Linked DNA regions of Struthio camelus. The protein of the gene in region 1 purifies or fractionates together with the protein of each later gene. This does not show direct contact. Links are inferred from orthologs where the notes say so. Each region holds a gene or a part of one and is shown in the gene's direction. Other genes may lie near its edges.

What was found. Proteins that work in one complex are often made in the same cells at the same time.
Region 2: the proteins of INTS6 (region 1) and INTS11 purify together in Homo sapiens (affinity purification with mass spectrometry; 3 studies listed by BioGRID, with this or other methods). This does not show direct contact. The link is inferred for Struthio camelus from reciprocal best matches to the Homo sapiens genes INTS6 and INTS11.

What each region holds. Positions count from the first base shown.
Region 1 is NC_090942.1:193,677,034-193,687,660, reverse strand, and holds the start of INTS6 (integrator complex subunit 6), read left to right. Parts: upstream 1-5,329; 5' UTR 5,330-5,400; exon of another isoform or gene 5,401-5,752; 5' UTR 5,753-5,802; coding exon 5,803-5,913; intron 5,914-6,179; coding exon 6,180-6,257; intron 6,258-7,014; coding exon 7,015-7,164; intron 7,165-10,627. UniProt on the Homo sapiens protein: Component of the integrator complex, a multiprotein complex that terminates RNA polymerase II (Pol II) transcription in the promoter-proximal region of genes.
Region 2 is NC_090962.1:3,816,306-3,827,331, forward strand, and holds the start of INTS11 (integrator complex subunit 11), read left to right. Parts: upstream 1-6,099; 5' UTR 6,100-6,100; coding exon of another isoform or gene 6,101-6,222; 5' UTR 6,223-6,236; intron 6,237-6,272; exon of another isoform or gene 6,273-6,410; intron 6,411-6,422; exon of another isoform or gene 6,423-6,824; intron 6,825-6,976; 5' UTR 6,977-7,127; coding exon 7,128-7,161; intron 7,162-8,247; coding exon 8,248-8,345; intron 8,346-9,396; coding exon 9,397-9,470; intron 9,471-9,728; coding exon 9,729-9,957; intron 9,958-10,073; coding exon 10,074-10,172; intron 10,173-10,272; coding exon 10,273-10,307; intron 10,308-11,026. Other genes in the region: CPTP (ceramide-1-phosphate transfer protein), read right to left, coding at 5,497-6,019, 6,101-6,222.

The sequences.
Region 1 (10,627 bases):
GGCGGAGAATACAAAAATCCTTAGGAAGCTTCAAAGGCGATCCTCTGGGTTTCCCAATCTAAGAATAATGAAAATGAGACTGTCTTTGAAGATGGGCCAAGAGAAGCCGGAACGCAACTTCTTTTAGAGGTCATCGTTCTGCAAAGTGATGTAGTTTCACTGCGTTCTAGTGTTGGGAAAGCCAAAGTGCAGACTTCTAAAAGGTTTCAAAAGCAGGCAACTGGCTCTGCAAGTTTAAAAAAAAAAAATAGACATTTTCAATCAAAGTCCTAGAACATACATAAAAACTCGAGATCCAGTTATCTTAATGTCATCTCAGTTGTACTTCCCCTCAAAGCCTTCCTAATATTTTGAAAAACTGAACAAGGAGCGGGGAAAGGGTTGTGTAATAATGTAGGAATTAGGAAAAAAGAATTGTCACTGCTTTTGTTCTGTAGGTAGAAAGTTCCTATGATTTCCACTGACACTAAAAGAAAAAAAATACATTTTTTCCAAGTCTGAAAATCAACTTGTGCTTTTCTAGAAAAATTTTTGGGTTTGCATCTCAGCTTAACTGAGCCTTCTCAGTAATTACTCATTCTAGGCTGGATATTGTATGTTTTCCTAAGCTACCTTGAATTGTAAGGAGGAGTGAGTTTCTCTTTGGTAATACTTCGGGGGGTGGGGAGAAGTAGGCTTAAAAACCACTGAACTGAAACTAGTGGAATAACAACCAAGAAGCCCAACAATATAAACTGCTATGAATGCAAGATAAGTGGAAAATAACATTTTATTTATAAAGAAAGCAAATAAAGGGAATGCACAGCACCTCACTAAAAGGATTAGGATACAAGCATTAAAAGATAATAAATTGAGACTCAGAGTGCTCTTCAAGGACATATACTTTGATGATGAACAATAAATAAAATTAAGCAATAGAAAATTTAAGATCTTTATATGGGGAAAAAAAGTCTGAGTAGTGACAATCTACTAGGCTATGAAAGGGCCTTCTAAAGGAAGCTATGAAAAACTTACTCTGCGCCATTAAACTTGGGCTGACAAAGATCTTGAAATAATCTTCACGAAACAGTTCTGTATTGAGGAAGAGAAAGGCCAGCCAAAAAAAGAAAAAACAAAGTTATATTGCCAATTCTAGTTCCAAGATCCACTTGAAGGTTTTTAACATAACATCTTCCATTCAAGCCTGTTATTTAGGACAAAATAACGCTAACAATAAATGATGATATAGAAAAAGATGATTGCACGAGTATCAATTGGGAAACAAAAAAGTTTAAGGAAAAACTCAGTAATAGTAAATGATATCAAAATATTTTTCAAATGATTTTTTCAATATACATTTTCAAATTCATTGGAAGTTAAAGCCAAATTTGCATTTTTAATAGTTATTGTCTAACAGACAGTGGCCTCTCTGAAGGTGAGAAAATGAGTATTCTTAGACATGCACGTGTTTTCATAATCCCTCACGGATGTATGAAAAATAATAGAAACAAAATCTGTGTATGAAACAAGCTGGAAAATGAATAATTTCTACACCTTAAGTCTAAACTGATAATCTTATGCATTATCACTACAGCAAAAGTATTCCTTCAGACAGAGCTAGCTGAGACCATTCATCCAGATTTAAGAGAAAACATAGAACTGTCTCATTTACACTATACATGGGGTATAAATTTACCTACCATGTAAAAAAGCTGAAACCACAGAAAGATACATCTGTTTTCACAGGGATAGTCGCAAGCTCTCTCCCTGCTCACCTGTGTCAGCTCTACCAGTAATGAGCATAAGCACTAATATCACTAGGTTTTGTTCCTTCATAGCAAATCCCTTGTACAGATTTATAAATGTGACTCTGATGGCAGTACTACCCATTAAGACTCTCACATCAAGAGGCCGACAGGCACTTTAAGACTTGGGTTGATTATCTTTTCTTAAAAAGAATCTTTCTCAACATTAATCAAATTGGCCAGCTCCCAGTAGGAAAGTACTAATGCCTACCACAGGCAACACAAAACTAACCTTCATTCTGCCCTATAGGGGATCTAATATGGGTCTCATATGACATGCACAGGAGCAGGAAGGACCAAATGTTCCAAATTACTTCAAAGATAATGGCAAAAAAGTACATATAGAATTCACAAAGTGTTTTTGCTGGTAGAGGTCCCATTGGAACTGCATACAAGTTTCGTGCACGAGATTCTTTTATCAGTGGTAATCATTGGGTCCAAGGGAACTAGGGATAGAGTAGGTCCAGCTGCTTCAGTCCCACCTTCCTCTCGTGTTGGTAAGAGAAAATTACAGTGTGCCTACAGCTTGCAATTGTCATGCTGATTCAGAATTCACGGTAGGTTATGACTGATTCTACCACTAAGAGTTAATGTCTTTTCCCCTCTCTCTCTTCACTTACTGGTAATAAAAAGAAAAATCAGAAATTCCAAACGACCTTCCAGGATTTATGCAAAGTCTCCATGTCTCAGGCTGCCTTTCACAATGACATTTTCCTGGTGTGGCAGTGCTATAAAATGCCTTTACTTTTTTTTCCCCTCCCCCTACCTCTGGAGAAGGGTGCGTTCCAGAAGTTTCCCATTTTTACAACGCTCCTCGAGAAAATGCATAAGGCTTGGCACTTAAGAGTGACATTATTTTTATTTATTATTTTTATTTGGGTGGTCAATGAAACATCAGTGAAATAAAAATAGAAGAAAAGATGGCATGTCTGAAGAATGTGCCTATCTCAGAGATTTAAAGGGAAGCCAATTAGAGGCTGACAACACACACTTACCCAACATTACTCCCAAATGAAGCTACTAATCCCAAGGCACGATTTGTTAAAGCAGCATTATAGCCTTCACTTAACAACCTGAATCCCACCACTTTTGGGAGATGATTACTGGTCCTGCAGCAGCCAGCCTTGTTGACCTTAGGAGTGGCATACCTGAGAGCCAGAAGATACATGCCACTTTCCGTGGAGGGCCGAGGGGAAGCAAGGTGCTCCAATACAGATTGGCAGACAGAAGATAACTGTGAACCACGTTTCTCCAACAGTCCGAACGTTTTACTGCACAATGGGGCTAGGCATGCAGCTAGACTCCAGGGCAACCCAGCAATCCAGCCTCAGCAGCACCCGCTGGTTCACTTCCTCTGACAGCAGGGATTCAGATTAACCGGTAGAACCTGGACCAGAACAGCCTTGCTGCTGGTCACAAGACACACCACCACTGTTGGAGCTCTAAAATTGAACTGCTGGAAAGATGCAAGCTGCTCAAGAGCCAGCGAGTACACACAAGCTTGGCCACTCTCTCACTGCCAGCAAGATCCACACTGAGAAATACTCATAGCAAGAGATGTTACTTATTTGCCAACCCAGTTACCATATTTTGTCTGCACAGACTCCAAAGATCAAGACTCTTTCCTTGCTCCTGTGGAGCCCTTCACACTGGAGACTCCTTAGTGGCCTTAAATGGATAACTGAACTGAAAGGAAGCATCCCTCACTTCACCCCAATGCCTCAGGTCACAGATACAGCGCCGACAAGAAAGCCAAAATAATCTGCTCCCTGGCATAAGAATGCATACAAAGCTATAATGGAAGTATGATTCCTATCCCTCTCCAGCCTTCCTAGAAACTGAATGTTAATCTTTCATTAATCTTAAAAAAACAAAACAAAACAAAACGCCAAAAACAGCTCTTGTCGAACAAGACAGAAATCTTGCCTGGAAAAGCAGGATGAATCAAACCAGAACACTGCTGATATTTTCGTATTTTAAAGAGAAGGAAGGAGCACAGTGGCTTTAAACCTGCTAGAGCAGTGACTGGGAGAACACATCAGCTCGAGCTGGGGAAAAATATCAAGTCAGATAGGAAGCAGAGGCATCTCCTGAAGTGATTATGCTAAGAAACGACTTCAGAGTTAGCGCTCCAAGGTAGGAGAGCATAAACAGAGACACAATTGCTGGGGAAAGAAAAACCCCAAAACAACAACCAAGAGCAGAGATCTTCATCGTTGGAAACACTCCCCGATTATGTGATTGATCGGGAGTGAATGTGGAGCGCCCTGCCACAGATCAAAGAAACATTAGCGTTAATCTCCGTCTGTATGTAGGGGAAAGGGCCACTGCTAGGGCTAGCCAACGTTTATTTATTTATTTTTCCCTCCTCCTGACATCGAGTGAAAAGCCAGTGCAGGTCCCTGAGAAGGTACCATTTAAACGGTCACCTGCACCCTACAGCCACGGCATGTCGTGGACTGGGCAGGCACTGCGTGCCGGGCCCCCAAGCGCCAGCTCCCCCCGAGGAAGGGCCCCCCCCCGCCGCCCACCCCGGCCCCCAAGGCGGGGGCATTTCGGACCTCGGCTTTTCCGGCCTTCCCCCCTCACGGAAGGGGCAGTTTTGGCATCGGCACAGTTTAGAGGACCCCCACCCCACTAACCTTGGAAGGAACAATCCTTCACCACGCCTGAAGCGGGTGACGGGGGAAGTAAAGAAACGCCCCAAGGCAGGGCCGAGGGCAGCCGGCCGGGGCGGGGGGCGACTACCCCCGCCCCCGACGGGGGAGTCCCCCTCCCTCCTCTTCCTCCTTCCGGAGGAAGGCCGGGGGGGGGGGGGCTCCCCACGCCGCCAGGCCCCCCGCAAGACCTTCCTGCAGCCTCAAGGAGAAGCCGCGGCGGGCGCCGGGCGGGGGGCGGCGGCACCGCCCCCTCCCCCGTGACTCACCCGCCCGCTCCCGGCCGAGTCGAGCCGCCGGCGGCCCGCGCTCTCCCCGGGGCCTCCCCCGCCCTCTTCATCCCCGCCCCGGCCCAGCCTGGCGGCCGGCCCCAGTCAAGGGGCGGGTTCGGGTCCGTTACTACCGCGGGCAACCGCCGCCGCGCCCCGAGCCAGGCGGCTCAGCCGGGGCGCGTCGCCTCCGAGCCCGCCGGGCGAGGCGGTCTTCCCCCGTCCATGTGCCGCCACCCTTCTCCTTTTCCTTCCCACCGCCCCGGGTTTCATTTCAGTCGTTTCTCCCCCCTTCCCGCCCCGACCGTTTTCCGAGGAGCTGCGCCCCTCCCTGCACAGGGCTGTGTCACCCCTTCCGCCCCCCCCACCTCACCCCACCCCGCTCGCCGGGCACGGCAGCGCGCGTGCGCGGCGGCAGCGCCGAGGCGCGCGCGCGCCCCCGCCGCCTTCTCCCTCCGCGGCTCCGGCCGCCCCTCCTCCCGCTGATTTGAATATGCTAATGAGGGAGCTGCCCGGTGCCCTATGGCGGGGCCGGGAGGCGGTCACGTGGCGTGGGGACGTGTCTTTCGGGGGCGGGCCCCGACCTGCCCAGGCTGCCTTAAAAGCGGGCGGCGAGCGAGGAAGCGCCTCAGTCAGAGAGAGAAAGTGCCGGGGTGGTGGGGCTGCGGCTGCTCCGCCTGAAACTTCTGAGTAACATCAACAGGGGGAGGGGAGGGCGGGCGGCGGTGGAGGAAGGTGGAAGGCGGGGGGGGGGGGGGGAAGGTTAGCAGCAGCGCAGCCCTATCCGCCTCTCCCTCATAAACCAGCCTGTGTTGGGCTGAGCAGGCCCCTCACACAAAGGAGGGCAGGGCAGGCAGGGCTGCCCCCCTTCCCCCCCTCCTTGGGCGAGGGGCAGCGGGGAGGCGCCCTTCCCCGTGCAGAGCACTCACAGCCACTTACTCCTCTCCTGTCCCCCCCAACCCCGTCTTCTTCTTCTTCTCCTCCTCCTCCTCCTCCTCTTCTTCCCCTTTTCCTCCCACCCCGCCCCGTGGTCCCCCCTCAGCCCCCCGCCCTCTGTCCATGTAGCCGCCCGGCCGCCGGCCCCTCCGCACTATGCCCATCTTACTCTTCCTGATAGACACGTCCGCCTCCATGAACCAGCGCACCCATCTGGGCACCACCTATCTGGACATAGCCAAAGGCGCTGTAGAGACTTTCATGAAGGTACCGGCTCTGCCTTGCGAGAGGAGGCGAGAGAGAGCGAGAGTGACTGCGCGGGGAAGGGGAGGGGGAGGCAGGGCGCGGGGGGCCGCCGGGGCCGGGGGCGCGGGGCGAGGGCGGCCGGCCGGCCGGGCGGCAGTGCGTGTGTGTGCGGGCAGGGAGGGCCGGGCCGCACCGCTCCGGGCCGGGCCGGGGGGCTCCAAGGCGGGGGCCGCCCCGGCGCCGCTACCTCCGCGTTCACCCTCTCGCTTTGTCCGCCACCCCCGCAGCTCCGTGCCCGCGACCCGGCCAGCAGGGGCGACAGGTACATGCTGGTCACTTTCGAGGAGCCTCCTTACGCTATCAAGGTAACCCCCGTTAACCCTCCCCCCCACCTCCCCACACACATACCGCCCCCCCCACCCCGTTCCCCCGCCCCGTGCGGCCCCCGCGGCCGGCGCCGCCCGCCGCGCCTGGGCGCACACGCACGCTCGGGCTCCGGCGGCGGCGGCAGCGCTGACATCAACATGGCCGACATCCCCCCCCCCCCCCCCCGTGCGGTGCGCGAGCAGCAATGAACTGTGGGGGATATTTATTCGAGTTGGGAGAAGTGACAGCAACTCCGCCGAGAGTTGGGCCCGGGGTGGGGGGGGTCGGGAAGGGGAAGGGGAGGGGAAGGGAGGCCGCCCGCCTGCCCGTCGCGGCCCGTGCCCGGCGGGGGGCCGGGCGGCGGGGCGAGCACGGCCGCCGGAGAGCGCCGCGCAGCCGGCGAAGAGCCGAGCTGCCGTAGTTTGAAGAGCTGCAAGAAAGAGTTGGGCATGGATGACCTCACCGAGATTTCGTCCTGCGGAGAGAATCCAAAATACGGCTGGCAGGGGTGGGCTGCTACGATTTTTTTGTGTGTTTTTTTTTGGTTTTTTTTTTTCCTTTTCTCCTCCACGACGACGCGCTCGCCAGCCTGAGGGAGCAACCGCTAAAATATTGCTCGCTCGCCAGGCGTTTGGGTAGCCCTTGTCATTTGCTGTGTGCGGAGGGGAAAGCGCTGCTCTGTAGCCCCAGAGGAAAGCGTTATCCTGTGCACAGCTCCTGTCTGAAGGATACGTCTTCTCACGTTTCTCTTTTCAGGCTGGATGGAAAGAAAACCATGCAACGTTTATGAATGAACTCAAAAACCTTCAAGCTGAAGGACTTACGACTCTTGGCCAGTCCCTAAGGACAGCTTTTGATTTATTAAATTTAAATAGATTAGTAACTGGCATAGACAACTATGGGCAGGTAGGTTGACTATTAATAGGGGGAAAAATCATAAAAGACAAACTTTCCAGGGACAGCAGTTAACTAGTTGTCCAAAATGGCATCTTCATGAAATACTGAATGTGGGGCTTCTTCAAAAGAAAAACAGAGCTCAGGTAGCTTGAGGAAATGTGGTAGTTCACTGTTTTTTGTTTTTTTTTAATCCGACTTTCCTTTCTTATTTCAGTTATTCTTCAATTCTTAAACGCCAGCTTAGCCTTCAAGTTGACCTTTCAGTTAAACTTTGTCTTTTTTTTCATAACAAATTTTATGCTTCAGAACCTTAGCTGATAAGCCTGATGGGATTTGAAAACTTTTCCTTGCATATACAGTGCTGCATAATCAATTACAAGTAATTATAAAGTACACTCTGAGAAATGAGCTACTTTTTGAAAGGCACAGCATGTTTCAGAAATACTGAGTAGAGCATGTCTTTTTCAAAGTCATTTCTTTCTAGTGAGTTACTACTTTCTCTGAACACCTGTATTTTATAAAACTCCCTGCTGTATCAGAGCCTTGGAGCTGTGCTTTTCTAATGCCTGTGATGTGCTTTTCTAATGCCTGTCACTTTAAAGCAGGACATCTTTTGGGGTATTCCAACATTCTTTTGGTCAGTAGTGTGAGTTGCCATAAGCCAGTAACTTTACATTGAACATATGCTTTAGGAAGCATTCACAGTTGTATCTGGCACTGGATCAAACCTGGATTTGTTTTGCATCATAATGGACATGATTAGTATCAGGCAAGTATATTGTGCGTTTTTCACAGAAAACATACTAACTTGAATCTCCCCATTTCATTTGTTGCTCTCATGCAAAATGTTGCTCTCCTGTCTGTGGATTAGTTACTCCACTTGATAGTTAACATGGGTATGTGATTGTGAAAATAAGTCCCCTCCCTCCAAGTCTGAGCACAGTCTCTGTGATAACATGCCATATTTGTTTGGGAAGGAAATTCATCTCTCTCATGTTGCATTGTATGACTTTGCCACTAGGTGATCAAGTGAGCCTAAACATTTTTAAAATGCCAGTTTAGTGATGAAACTTTAAAAAAAAAAAAAAGTGCTACTTCTACACGTTGCTTTTTTTTCCTCTCTGTTCCCATTGCTCTCCTCTTATACGTCTGTGTGCTAATATCTTCTGCTTTCCATCTTTTTTGGTTCAGTTACATGAACTATACAAAGCTGTAACTTTACATAAAAATCAAGGCACACGCGTTAAATACTTTCCCTTTACCACTGGTATGGATGATGTTAAAATTCTAATCAAGTGAGCCAGTTGTGCTCAGCTCAGTTCACGTCATGACTGTTTTGACTGGTTAGTGTTCATTACTGCAAATAGCCGCTCTTGTCTGTATAGCAGTGGCTTTTTCTTTGTCTGGTTTGTTTTGTTTACCAGGCTCTCTCAGGGCTTGAACCCACCCTGGCTTATGTGTTTTAGTTGCTCTGTTCCACATGTGGAACAGACCGTTGAAGAGGTGTTCAAATGTGCAGTCAGGTGACTATATGCTAACCTTTTTTAGTCCTGATTAACAGATGGATTTATGGCAAGTACCAGATCATCTGCTGCTGAAGTCTCTGGTTCCTGTTCTGGCCCTACTAATCAAATTTGCAGGTTTTCATAAATCAGACTAAATTTAGGAGCACTTAACTGGTCCCTCAGCGCTTGCGGGATGAGTTTTGGTGCAGTTAACTTTCCTCAAGTTCACATTGGCCTTTGAGCAATAAGCTTTATCAACCTGTCGTTGTTGATGTTACTTACTTTTACTTCAGTGGGTATTTACCCATACATGCCATGAGAAACCTTAAGAATTCGGGATAATAGAAGTAGTCAGAACACTCAGTTATATTTGAAATAGTTTTCACCCTGAACATAAAGTACTGATTCACTTGTTTTTAAGGAGTTAAAAAAAAAAAAAATTAATACCATAGCATTAAGTTAGCACTTAACTAAAATACAGCAGAGGTGTTTAAAGAGTAATTATCTTAGAATGGGAGGAGAATATAGTTCTACAAAAGCACCATATTCAGATGATCTTGGATGTGGTATTGTGTGAAGTAATAAAAATACACATTTATTAAGCTTTTAAAAAAAAAGCTTAATAAATTCTCTGGCTTAACATCTTTTTGCTAACATGCTTATTTTTGATGGATTGACAGGCTTCTAAAATATTTGCTGAGATCCACTTTTGTTTCTCATATATGAATTGTAAATCAGATTTTTAGTATACATACATATGACATAAAGTTGGTGAGATTGTCTGGTTATGCCATCTAACAACACGATGTCATGTCCCCCTGCTAACGTTGAAGTGTTTGTTTAAATGGCAGCGTGACTCACTGCACTTGATTTCTTTTGAAGTAGACCAGAGTTCTCCATCAGCTGACTTCCTGATCAAGAGTGATGGCTGAATGGTCATTCTGAAATTGAGGAAAAGCTCCAGCTTCATATTTTCTTGCAACATTAATGTGCACACCTTTAATATGAGTTTTTCTGTTTATCATATTACTTTTTCAGTAAGTAAGTACTGAGTCAGTTGCTCATGATGATTGGGTTACCAAGTGTACAGCTGTATTAGCTGACCACAGTATCTCACATTCAGATCTTAAAGTGACATTGTCAACACATTTAGATTATCAAGAACCTGGAAGATTTTTCATCAGCTGCTTCTCATATTAATGCTATAGTCTGTATAAACCCTTTATCTTGTCAAGGGTTATTTAGAGCCACATTTCTGTGAAGATTTTTGTCAATTAAAAAGTACCCAGAGAAGCAGTAAAGCTGACTAGAGGAAAATATTTTCACATACTTGAGGTGAACTTGTTAAGTTTTTGAAAAGGGTATATGTTTTTAAGGTGACTATCCCATTAATTTCTACAGAACTTTCAGTTAGATAAATTTTGTATTATATTGCTTAAGTCCAATAGTAGCTACCGATCTTTTGCATATGCTGTGCTTTGTGCTGATTATGATAGCAGAAGAATGAACCTTCAGCTAAGATGTCAACTTTTTGTGTTACCTAGAAGTAGTGGTCCTTTTCACTTTCTGTATCTTTATAAAAACCTTAATAGAAAAGCACACAGGAGCTAGATGTGTTTAGTAAGAAAACAATTTAGGCACGTTAATTTCACTAAGCTCACTATTATATCACACAAAACATTGCACTTCATTAGCCCAGTTTGCACTTAGTTAATTGTCATTTTTATTATGTTTTCCCCAGGTCAGCTTCTCCATTGCTTTGGGTACTCTGAAAAAACAAGCCTTTTACTAGCAAATTTTCCATTTTCTTGTAATACACTGGTGAATCTTCCAGTTTTGGCTTGTTCAGCAAAACATTTGTAGACACAATTTGACTGAATATTTTTATGAATGAGGCAAACAAACGCAGTTTGTTATGGTTGACAGAACAAACAATAGATGCGTTCCTGAAACTGTTATTTCCACTG
Region 2 (11,026 bases), on another chromosome or scaffold:
TGTGCAAGGACTTACTACATGCAGGCCTCAGTTGAACCATGTGCAGGAGGTAGAAGGGGTTGTGGGTAATCGGCCTTGTTTATACCCTTATAAAATATCTTACCCCAGCTGGGGGAGCTTGTTGAGCTCATCTGGCTGAAGTAAGCATTTTCCCTGTGTGCATATCAAGTCACATTAAGGTTTTCTCCTAGCTTATATTTTGCCTGTAGGCCTTGGGGAAGAGAGATCTCTTTGGATGTCATTAATAAATGAAATAGGCTTGCTCTCATGATAAACAGTCCTCAACCAATCCACTAACCTCTGCAGGAGAGACAGCATTTGTCTTTAGTTTAAAAAAAAAAAAAAAAAAAAAAAAAAAAACAGAATTCAGGCCTGCCGCTTCCTTTTACTGATCAGCAGGGAACACAGCTGTATATGTTTAGGTATGGTTGGATTTCTGGGTTTCTGTTTCTAAAAGCTCACAAATAACTAGGTAATAATTCTGCATGTAAGTGGCAAACGTGATGACTTGTTCCATGATAAATGGTAGCTACAAAGGCAGACAAAGAGTTGCAGGCCCAGGGGGAGTTGCTGCGAAATTGATGCACTTCACACAGTGTATAATGAAACTGCTTAGAAACTCCAAGTGAACCAATCTTGCCGTTTGCCTATGCCTAATTATTACATCCCATGTTACCTTGCAATTAGCAGGTATTGCACATTTGTATATCTGCTTCCTCACTAGCTACTGCTTTTTCACACAGTACCATTAGGCTCTTTTAAATGATGATTCTTGTCCCTTCTGAGGAATGAACTGCTATTGCTGCGATAAATTTAAGCTGTTTCAGCGTGTGATAGTGTCTACCTAAGGTTCTTACTTTTTCTGAAATTTCTTACTGTACAGTGGGTCCTGTCTGCCATTATTCTACTCAAGAAAGAGAGAGCGTGGATGGATTTTGTTTTGGTTGGTTGGTTTGTTGGTTTGATAGAAAGGCTTTTTGCATGGGTGGTTCGTCCCTATAAGCATCTTTTGTGTGTGTGTGTGTGTGTGTGTGTGTGTGTGTGTGTGTGTGTGTGTGACTCCTTGTGAGTATGCATCTGTGTGTGCCCTGTTTGTCGTGTGTGCATTGTTATGAGCATGTTCTGTGTGTGTATCTCTTGAGTATGTTGTAAATGTGTCTATTGTGTGCATCGTGTCTGTTTTTGTACGTGCAGATGTGTGTTTATGTGCATACATGTGTGTTTGTGCTCTCATATGGGCCTGTGCTTGTGTCTCTGTGCAGCCTCATTTCTTCTCCGGCTCTGAGCAGCCCCTTTGTGCTGCTGGAGGAGGCTTCTTGTGGCACCACAGCTGTGCCTTGCAATGGACTGGCAGGACTGATCCTTTGGTCTGAAAAGTGACACCACACAGAAATTCCAGCCAAACTCTGCTTGGATCTATGCCCTCATGGCATGGCTGTTTGTGTCCTCCATGGAGGTGGTGGGGCAGGGGGTTACAATTGCTTTGGGGCAACCCATTTGCTTCTTTGGAGCCAGAAGTGTTACCCAGGGCTTTCCAGAAGCCTAGAACAAGCTGTGGCTGGATGTTTGTTCTCAAAGCTATTTTAGACAAATGCTTAAAAAGATCACAAAGAATAAAAAAACACTTTCACAGGCCTTTTTCTATCTTCCTAACATTGGTCCCAGGAGATCCTGGAAAGCAGTTATCCTCATACAGGGTCCTGTGTGATGCTAGAGAAACATGAGGTTTCTTCCCTTCCTCCCCCTCACATCTCATTTTAGCCAGAAGATTGATCCCTAAACGCTTGTTTAAAGTACAGCCTCTCTAAATAAACTATTCAACATTCTCTCCTTTATCCTGTCCCTTCTGACAATATGGATTAACTTTGAGAACAGTGGAGATGAAATAGCAGCAGGAGAAATATAAAATAATTATTGCTAGAATGTCAAGACATTAAATGCTGCCGTTCTCTTGGGACAGGGTGCCCCTGAGAGAGCTTTCTTCTCTAGGGACATATTGTGTGTTTCTCTCTAGTTACAGATGCTCTTGCTTAGTCTCGACTATTCATCCTCATTGGGACATATTATACCTCTACAATGTTTCAAGTTCCTCCCATGGTACAAAATTTATTCTCCAGCTTCCTGATTCTTCTCTGAGCCTTTTCATCCACTAATTTTCTCCTTGAAGTGCCACCTGCTGCATCTCTCAATGGTTTTCACGTCATAGCAAGAAAGAAAACCCTCTTCCCTACTTAGAGGTGACCTGTACTGAGACAATGTTACCTAGTTTATTTTTAAATGAATCTTGGAATAGTATGTTGAGTTGCCCAAACTATAAGGTAAGAGTCTTATGCAGCAGTTTTATGTTTTTTTGATGGTTTTTTTTTTTTTTTGGTTAGTTCAAGGTCACCTCATCGCAGAGACTTCCAAATCTTCCTCAGAGCATCACAGGAACTTGTCTGGAGCAGACCATTTTTACACTGCAAGAGCTAGGTGAGCTATATTGCTATTTTAGTAAGGGTTTTTGGCCAATCTAGATTTTTCTCATACTGACCTGTGATGTTAACTTCAATTTAATTACTCAGGTCAGTTCTACACCAAAGTAATTTAAGTTGTGTTGTGGTTTATGTTTTTCTGTCAGGTTTGGATTATAGTTAACAGGACAGATCTGAATTGGAAAGTTTAATTTATCGCATTTTATTGGCTTATTACATATTTAGACTGTATCATAGAACTTCCTTGTACAGCCAAAGCAAGATATGCCTTTTTTGCTACAAGGCCAGACTATTTCTCCAAGTATCTTACAGAAGCAGTCTCATTGTAGAAAGCTAAGTATATGTATGCATGCTTCAGGCAAGCAACAGTTGTAGATTTCCATGCCTACATTACATATAGATATGTTTCTATCTACATCCTTTTAAGGACACCTTTGCAATTTTCCCTCACTCCTTAATGGAATATTTAAGTGTTAGCTTTAATTATAGAATTCCTTTAAAAAATCTCTAAATACAAATTTGGCTGACTGGAGGGAAAAAAAAAAAAAAAGGTGTGTGAGTGATGCAAGAGTTGCACACAGGCACCTGTTTACTCCCATTCATTCTTTCAAGTGAAATAAAGTACACTTTATTGGGATAGGAGACAGTTTAAGTGATGGACTTTTGTGCAAAATATTCAAGCTCCCTCTAGTGAATCTGTATGTTATTGCAGTTTTTAAGTACAGCGGTCACTATCAGTGAAGGTTTACTTTTGGATTTAGCCCCGTTAATGAAAGCAGCCAGACTCGAAGCCAAGTGCAGGACCTTAGTTTTACTGAGTAGTAACTAACTGAAGCTGTTAAAAAGTTCCCATTGTTTGGAGATAGGGCACCGCGCCAAGAAAATAAGTGTCACTAAGAAATACCTTTTTTAGATGAGAGCATGAAAATCAGTGGAAAATGGTGTATTTTACTTGAAGCATACTTTGCACAGACTGGCTATCCAAAAAATTCCAACACGTTTTTCCCCTACTGAGAAAGTTTGATTCTTTAATTGGAAAAATCAAGTTCACTTTCAGCATTAATATTTATCTCATAAGACCAACAGCTGAGAATGAATGTGACAAGGGAGAAAAAATAATTTTTCCACGTGGTAACACTACCATTTCTGCATTAAACCCACGAGAGAGAGAGAGACAACTTATCTTCACTTGGCACAGAACACTGTGACATAGTTTAAAGAAACTTCAGTCATATTGTGGCATTTACTACCCCACACAGATGAAATACCAACTGTATCTGTATTGGACAGGAAGAGATATGTTGTAGTTTGTAACATGGAACTGCTCCATTTTAATATATGGACTTATCCTAAGGAATTATGTTATTTTTTTAAGGTGGTCTTAGCAGAAAGGGAATGATATTTTTGTTTTCACAGTATAGCAAGAAAACCTCCACTTAGGATGTGCAAGGAAACTAATTTTCCTTTCTTCAGGCAAAAAAACATCGTTGACAGATGTGAGTAGTCAGAATAGGGGCTCAGTCAGCAGCTTATAATTTCATCTGCGTTTTTTCTCATGATTGGTTTCATATCTGATCACTACGTAAATTAATCAGACGCTGCTAGTGAAGGACAGGATATGAATATAAGAACACTTTGTTTCTTCCAACACCACAAAAAATAAAGCATTCCTGTAAAGGATGCTCTTCAGAGGCAAGTTGCTCAAGCAGTTTAATGACCAGTTAGACTAATCCCATGAAGTAATGGTGATTTTGTGAATCATACAGTGTTGAAGTAGTCCAAGTGCCTCCTATTTGAGAGATACAGCCAAAATACGTGACTAAATTTGTGGGGTGCTCCCTCCTCTCCCAAGTGTTCAAGTATTCATGTCTTTCTAATGTTTCTTCTGCTTTTAAAAAGCTAAGTAAACTTCATTTTACCTAGTTCACATATTTTAGACACTTCACACACATATATAAAAATAAAGTGACTTCTGTGCATGAAACACCGTAACTGATTTGAAATAGAAGCCGTAAGCTTCACAAGGTCGTGCCTTACAGCCCAAATTCAGGTTTCTCCCCAGAGATGTCATTTCTGTATGCATATGACAGTCGTAAAGACAAACAAACAAACAAACAAAACGAAAAAAAAAAACCCCAAAACATGATAAAACACAGTTTAGAAGCACAGCTTGAAAACAGAACAAGTAGAATTTGGAGCCTTATCTGGATATATAGTATTGTGTAGTACATACTAAAAATTGCTCTGATTCCCATGAAGCATAAAGCATATACAAAAATAACGAGCAGGGGAAGCTCCACAGAAAAGAACATTCCTGCTTAATGGCGCCATGCGCAAAGGAAGAACAGTATCTCATTGCAACAAAAGGCAACAACATTTCCATCTTTAAAACTAGGTGGCACAGAATTAGCAGCCATCATCGGGTGAGTCTGTGACCACCAAGAAAAGAGCTTTTTTTCAGAGACACCTTATTCTGGATTCTGTTTTCAAGGTTAAAGTATAAGAGAGAGCAAAGGTCAGCCCTATTCAGGGGAACGGCTTGTAAACAAAGTGGCAAAGTGAGCTGACATGTAGTGTCAGCATGTTTAGAATATCATATCAGGAAGTTAGAACTTGAATTTTAATGCATAAATTTTAGTCATATGAGATCCTAACTATTGGTGTAAATACAGAGAAGTTGCTAAAGGTGTTCAGTTTGGCTTAAAAAATGAAACCAGCCAACCTCCACAAAACCTAGCTAGAGTTTTGAAGGTGAATCCAGGAGAAGGGAGGAAAGAAATCCATTTAAGCAAGCTATTAGACTTCTTTCTTCCTGTAGAGCTGAGGCAGATGCATATGTGCATGCGTGCATTTTTTTTTTTCTTACGAAGTGAGGCATCCTGAATAGCTTTGCCAGTTTGCTTGCTATCTCTCTACTGGAAAAGGAAAGGAAGAGTGCCATAGTTTGTGTATGTATGAAAACATAGTTTTCACACCTTCCACTTCTGTCAGGATGCGGAGTTGCTGTTTAACATCCATCGCATCAAGGGAGATCAAGCAGCTTATGTTGGGCATAGAGCTCCTCAGTGATCCCATAGACATTGCAGATATGTGGTAAGGCATCACCCAGCATAACGACAGCCTCCTCAGGGGTGCCCACATTCATGATTTCAAGGAATGCATTTCGAGAAGGTAAAGCATGGAAGGCCACAGTGGCAGCCTTGCGAATAATCCAGGGGTGATAGTTAGCCAGAGAAGCGTTGTAAGAGTCCGTGCAGATCACTGATGTCTTGGAGTCTTCCTGACCAGTTCTCAGCCCCTCCAGGAACAACTGCAGCCAGCGCAGGGCTCTGTGGAGGCGCAGCACCGTCCGGCAGCCGGAGTCAGGGTGCCCCGACCGCTTCTGGGTATCTACCAGCCCGTTGGCCACCTCGTACTGCACCATGGACTGGAGCGTCAGGTACTTCTGCTGCTGCTCGCCGCTGCAGTAGTTCTCCATGATCTGTATTTTGGCCAGCGCGTCCTTGGAAACAAAGGAGAAGATGGCGCCCAGGCTGTTCAGGAACCTGCGTGCGGGAGAGACCGGCTCGCGTTAGCGGCGGCCGGGCGGGCACCCTGGCCGGGCAGCGGCGCCCGCGGTCACTCACCGGATGAGCCCCCTCCATCCGCGCAGGTAGGGGCCGAGCAGCACCTCCCGCCGCTCCGTGACGCACGTCTGGAAGGCGACGAGGACCTCCCTGAGGCAGAAGACGCCCTGCTGGCCCGCCATCGCCCCGGCGCCGGGTAGCGCGTCACTCGCCGCGCGACCAATCCCCGCGCAGGAAGGAGGGCGGGGCGGTGGGGCGCCTCGCGGCGCGCTATTGGCCAAAGCGCGAGCGGCGTTACGTCCCCTTCCTCCGCCGGGTCGGGGAAGGGCGGGTTGCCGCGGAGGCGTCGCGGAGCAGGGACGGCGGGGCGGTGAGAGCCGTTGGGGCGGGGCGGGGAAGGGGTGCGCGGGGCGAGTGTGCGCGCGCGCGGCGCGGCGGGCCCTATTCGGGTCGCCTGGCGGCGGCAGGCGTAGGTGTGCTACGGGCCGCAGGGCGGGCGGGCGGGCGGCGGTGTTGGGGAGCGGGAGGCCGGCCGGCCGGCTCGCTCGCCGAGGTGGTTTCAGGAGGTGTCGCCTCGCAAAACCGAGGTTGCTTCGGGAGGGCGTTCGGCGGCGCGAGGGAGCAACGGCCGCCTGAGGGCTGGCCGCCCGTCGCGGGGGCGGGAGCCCTTTCCTCACAGCGGCCTGCTGATGGGCGTCGCGCGCGTGAAAAGCCTTAGGGTTGGCTGTCTCCAAGGCGCAAGTGGTGCCAGGCTTCTGATGCTGAGATGATCTGATGATTAAAGGTGATCTGAACAGAAAGAAATTGATGTGCGCTTTCAGGGAGCATAAGAAAGCGTGACTATTACTAGTGAAGCCAAACATATGTGAATTTCTAGGAGAAGCTAATAATGTGTGTGTTTATCTGACTTCTGTTGTCTGTCTGTCTTCCCTCTAGGAAGAAGGGGAGGCCTCAGCTGAAGTCTTCTGTCTGATACTGAAAAACAAATGCAATGCTGTGACTAAAGGCTAAATCTTTTCTTGACTTTATGGCTGTCATCAGAGTATCTCTGAGATAATTTATCGTATTGCTTGAAGTTCTAGAGTTTATGAAAATGCCTGAAATAAAAGTCACTCCCTTGGGTAAGTCCAAACCTAAAATGGTCCTGAAATAGACATGCTGAAAAACTTTGTATGCTGTGATTTCCTTGAAAAGAAACAAGCGAAACTGGAGTTGAAATTTGGAGTTAGTAATAACGTGTTTTAGACCGCTGGAGATGCATGTACTTTTCCCTGCCACAAAAACTGGTCACAGTTGTATACTTGAGTATGTTACATCTGTGCAACATAGGGGTGTCGTTGTCCTCCTTTTGCTGTTCAAACAAGTGCCACTCAAATAGAGCCTGCAAACTCTATTCTTAAATGAAAAGATTCACTAACAGATATTGGTGAAGGGCTTGTAGATCATATCTAGTACTGTAGAGGTCTTCTGTTATTTATTGTAGTATTGTACAGCATGGATAGAGTATTAGTAAACTCGATGGAGCTGGAGATCCATAGGAAGCAATTTTTCATTATTTTGGGAGTTGCACAGAAGCTGTTGACAGGCATTTAAGTGCTGAGAGGGCAGTGGATGTTCCAAGCAGGAAAACTGCTCTATCCTAGTCAGTCATTTTCTAGCTTGGAACAGACTTCCTGGTGCATTAGGGAAATCTGTGCTTTCACTGAGAGGCAGAGTATTTGTGGTGGGGCACAACCCTGGGAACTTTGGGCTTCATGCGATTGACACTGCCGTTGGGCTAGTCATTTCCCGTAGCTCAGAAGAAATAGGTCAATTTGGATATTTTCAGGTAGTTAAGAGATTATTTTGCTCTTACCTAAAACTGCTTTGAAACTATGTTGCTGCTCTTGCACAGTACCGGGCAGAAAACAAATGTACCCTGCATCTGAACCGCTTATGGGCTTGGACTCGGTGCTGTAGTAAGTGCAGTTGTGCGACTGGAGCTGGAAGGCCCTCTCATAAGCTTAGGGAATGGGATAAGTGAGCTCACATCTGCTTCCCTCTAACGGATCCACTTGCTTGGAAGAAAGGATGTGGCCTTCTCCTGCCCTGGAAGGGAGCTAGGGCTAGAGATTGAAGTTTGTAGAGATCTTTCAGTGCTTCTCTTTTGAAGTGACTGCAAGTATTGCTAGAGATGCCTTGCTTGTCTTCCTTTTGTTTGGGTCCAGGGGCTGGCCAGGATGTGGGGCGCAGCTGCATCCTAGTGTCCATCGCAGGGAAGAACGTAATGCTTGACTGCGGGATGCACATGGGCTACAATGATGATGTGAGTATGGTGGGGAAACCTGAATGTTGAATGGAGATGCTTTTAAGGCATATCTGCCTGGCCTTTCCTAGCAGAGCTCCTTGTTCATCGTCCTGGCCTATTCACCTTCATTTGAATGTTGCCTGACCCATCTGGCATGGCACATGGGTGCTATTAGCTGGGTGTGCACTATTGGGCATCTGTATCGGCCACTGCTGGAGAAGGGTTACTGCCGAGATTGAACTAGTATTTCCCTTCCAAAATCTTGTCTTCCTGTGCAAGAGCTACCCCTCAGGTATTTCCAATCTGTGAAGTTCTACCATCCGGCCATCCTCTTTCCCTCTCCCTGGGTCGTAGCCTCTGAAAAAATATTAAGCAAGCTGTGAATGCCCCATTCCCACTTGTTTTTGTTGTTGCTGCACCTCATATGGGCAGGCATCTTCTATACTTTAAAGCGTTAATCCCACCGTTAGTTAGATAGCTCCTGTGAGGAGGCTTGTTCTTGAGCGATTAATTACTTGTGGGATCCACACCAAGACATGCTGTATGGAAGCTTTGCTGATGCCTCAGAGGTAGAGCTAGATAATACTCCTGGTATTTGGTTACCCGATACAGGTAAGAAAGGCATAAATGCAAAAATATTTTGCACAAGTAGAAAGATTCAAGGCACGACAGAGAGCAAACGTGCCTTTTCAGAAAAGATTTTGAGGCTTTTTGCCTTAATGCCTGTGGGTGAGCTCAAATGCGTTGGTCACCTATTTTGCTTTGAAGATAAACTTGGCTGTAATTTACTTGTTTGCAAGATCAGGTTCTCTGACTCTCCCCTGACGGTCCTCCCCCCTTTTTTCTCTTTGACTCTATCTGCACATAAGCCTTAACAGTGTCATGTACAGCTCTTACCATATTGCTGACACCAGCCCAGTCTGCTGACCTACTGCAATTTTGCCTTGAGATGGATTACACAGTGTTCCCAGTGTTGTGGACAGTTCATGCCATTGTTCTGCTGGATTAATAATTTAGCATTAACTGGCTTTGTTTAGTAATAGATAACCTGCTTTTTTATGTTTTGCAGAGGCGCTTTCCGGATTTTTCTTACATCACTCAGAACGGAAGGCTGACTGACTTCCTAGATTGCGTGATCATCAGGTGAGAAAACTACTTCCTTGTTACAGCTCAAATGGAAAACAGGAACGCTTTCTATGCTGTTCTTTCCCTGTGCGATGCTAAAACTAGTAACCCAAACAAGTTTCAGGTCGATCGTTCGTATTTTGGTTGGTTCTTAAGTTCCTCTGTGTTGTGCAGTGCTTTTAAAAGCCTGAAACGAGATTTGAGAACCAGGCAAGCGCCAAAGACCTCCGGCTAAATTCCTGTGCAACATCTTCATTTTTTCTGTCTTTTTTGCAGTCATTTTCATTTGGACCATTGTGGAGCTTTGCCGTACTTCAGTGAAATGGTCGGCTATGATGGGCCTATTTACATGACACATCCTACCAAAGCCATCTGTCCCATCCTCCTGGAGGACTATAGGAAAATCACTGTAGATAAGAAAGGGGAAACTAACTTCTTCACGTCCCAAATGATTAAAGACTGCATGAAAAAAGTTGTTGCTGTTCACCTTCACCAGACGGTTCAGGTAAACGACCGTTGCTGCATAGTCTTCAGTCACACCAACTGGATTGCTGTGGAAGGCGGAGCAATTTTATCTTTTTAAAATGTGTGCACTACTGCACTATTTGCCTGTTCATGCAGGTGGATGAGGAGTTGGAGATCAAGGCGTACTATGCGGGCCATGTGCTAGGAGCAGCCATGTTCCAGATTAAGGTTGGATGCGAGTCTGTTGTTTACACTGTAAGTATGCACAACACCATGTATAGAAACCTGCATCTCCTTTTAATAGTGTGTGTCCTATTACCTTGAGAAAATAAACGGATTTCTCTTCTTCCATTAGGGTGATTACAACATGACGCCAGACAGACATTTAGGGTGAGTAGGAAGCTGAGTTTCTATGAGTTGCATGTATTTCAAACAGGAAGATTTTAGCAGCAGCTTCTGTTATTCCCTAGGGCCTTATCAGCAGTGTTTCTTTGTTCTTGTAAGGGGGACTGGAACATTTAGTTAGGCCTTTGCTAGAAAGATGAATGCAATTTTGAATTACGTGAATGAACAGATTTACACTGATTCCTCACGATAAACCTTATTGTAGTCTTGTTCCGTACAGTCATATGTTCTTTTATAAGACTGTGCAGTAATGGGGTTTAGATATTTGAAATGCTTTATTGCCATAGTATCTTCTAAATGTGTTTACTTTCTAAGAGAGCTTTGATCACAAGCTTTAAAATTAGGATTGATTTTATTTTTACGGGTAAATATGAGAGATTTATAATATTGGTGATATTTAGAATAATGTTTTAATGTGTTAAAAACCAGTAACAGATTGGAGAAGAATTGCCTTTCAAAACATGTGGAGTTAGTTTCTATTCTGGGCTGAATTCGTTTAAGGAAAGCATGGCCTGTAGAGACAGGAAACTTGATGCTGCCGTGGAAGCCCTAGGTGACTTTGGGCAAGCCAGTCTCTGCAGTCTCTGCATTTCTGCTTTCCTATCTGCCAACAGAGGTGGTGACATTCTTCACCCATCTTTGAGACTAGCAGATCAGAAATGCCAAATACCATCTCTTAATCTGATAAGCTTTTAAGCGTTTCT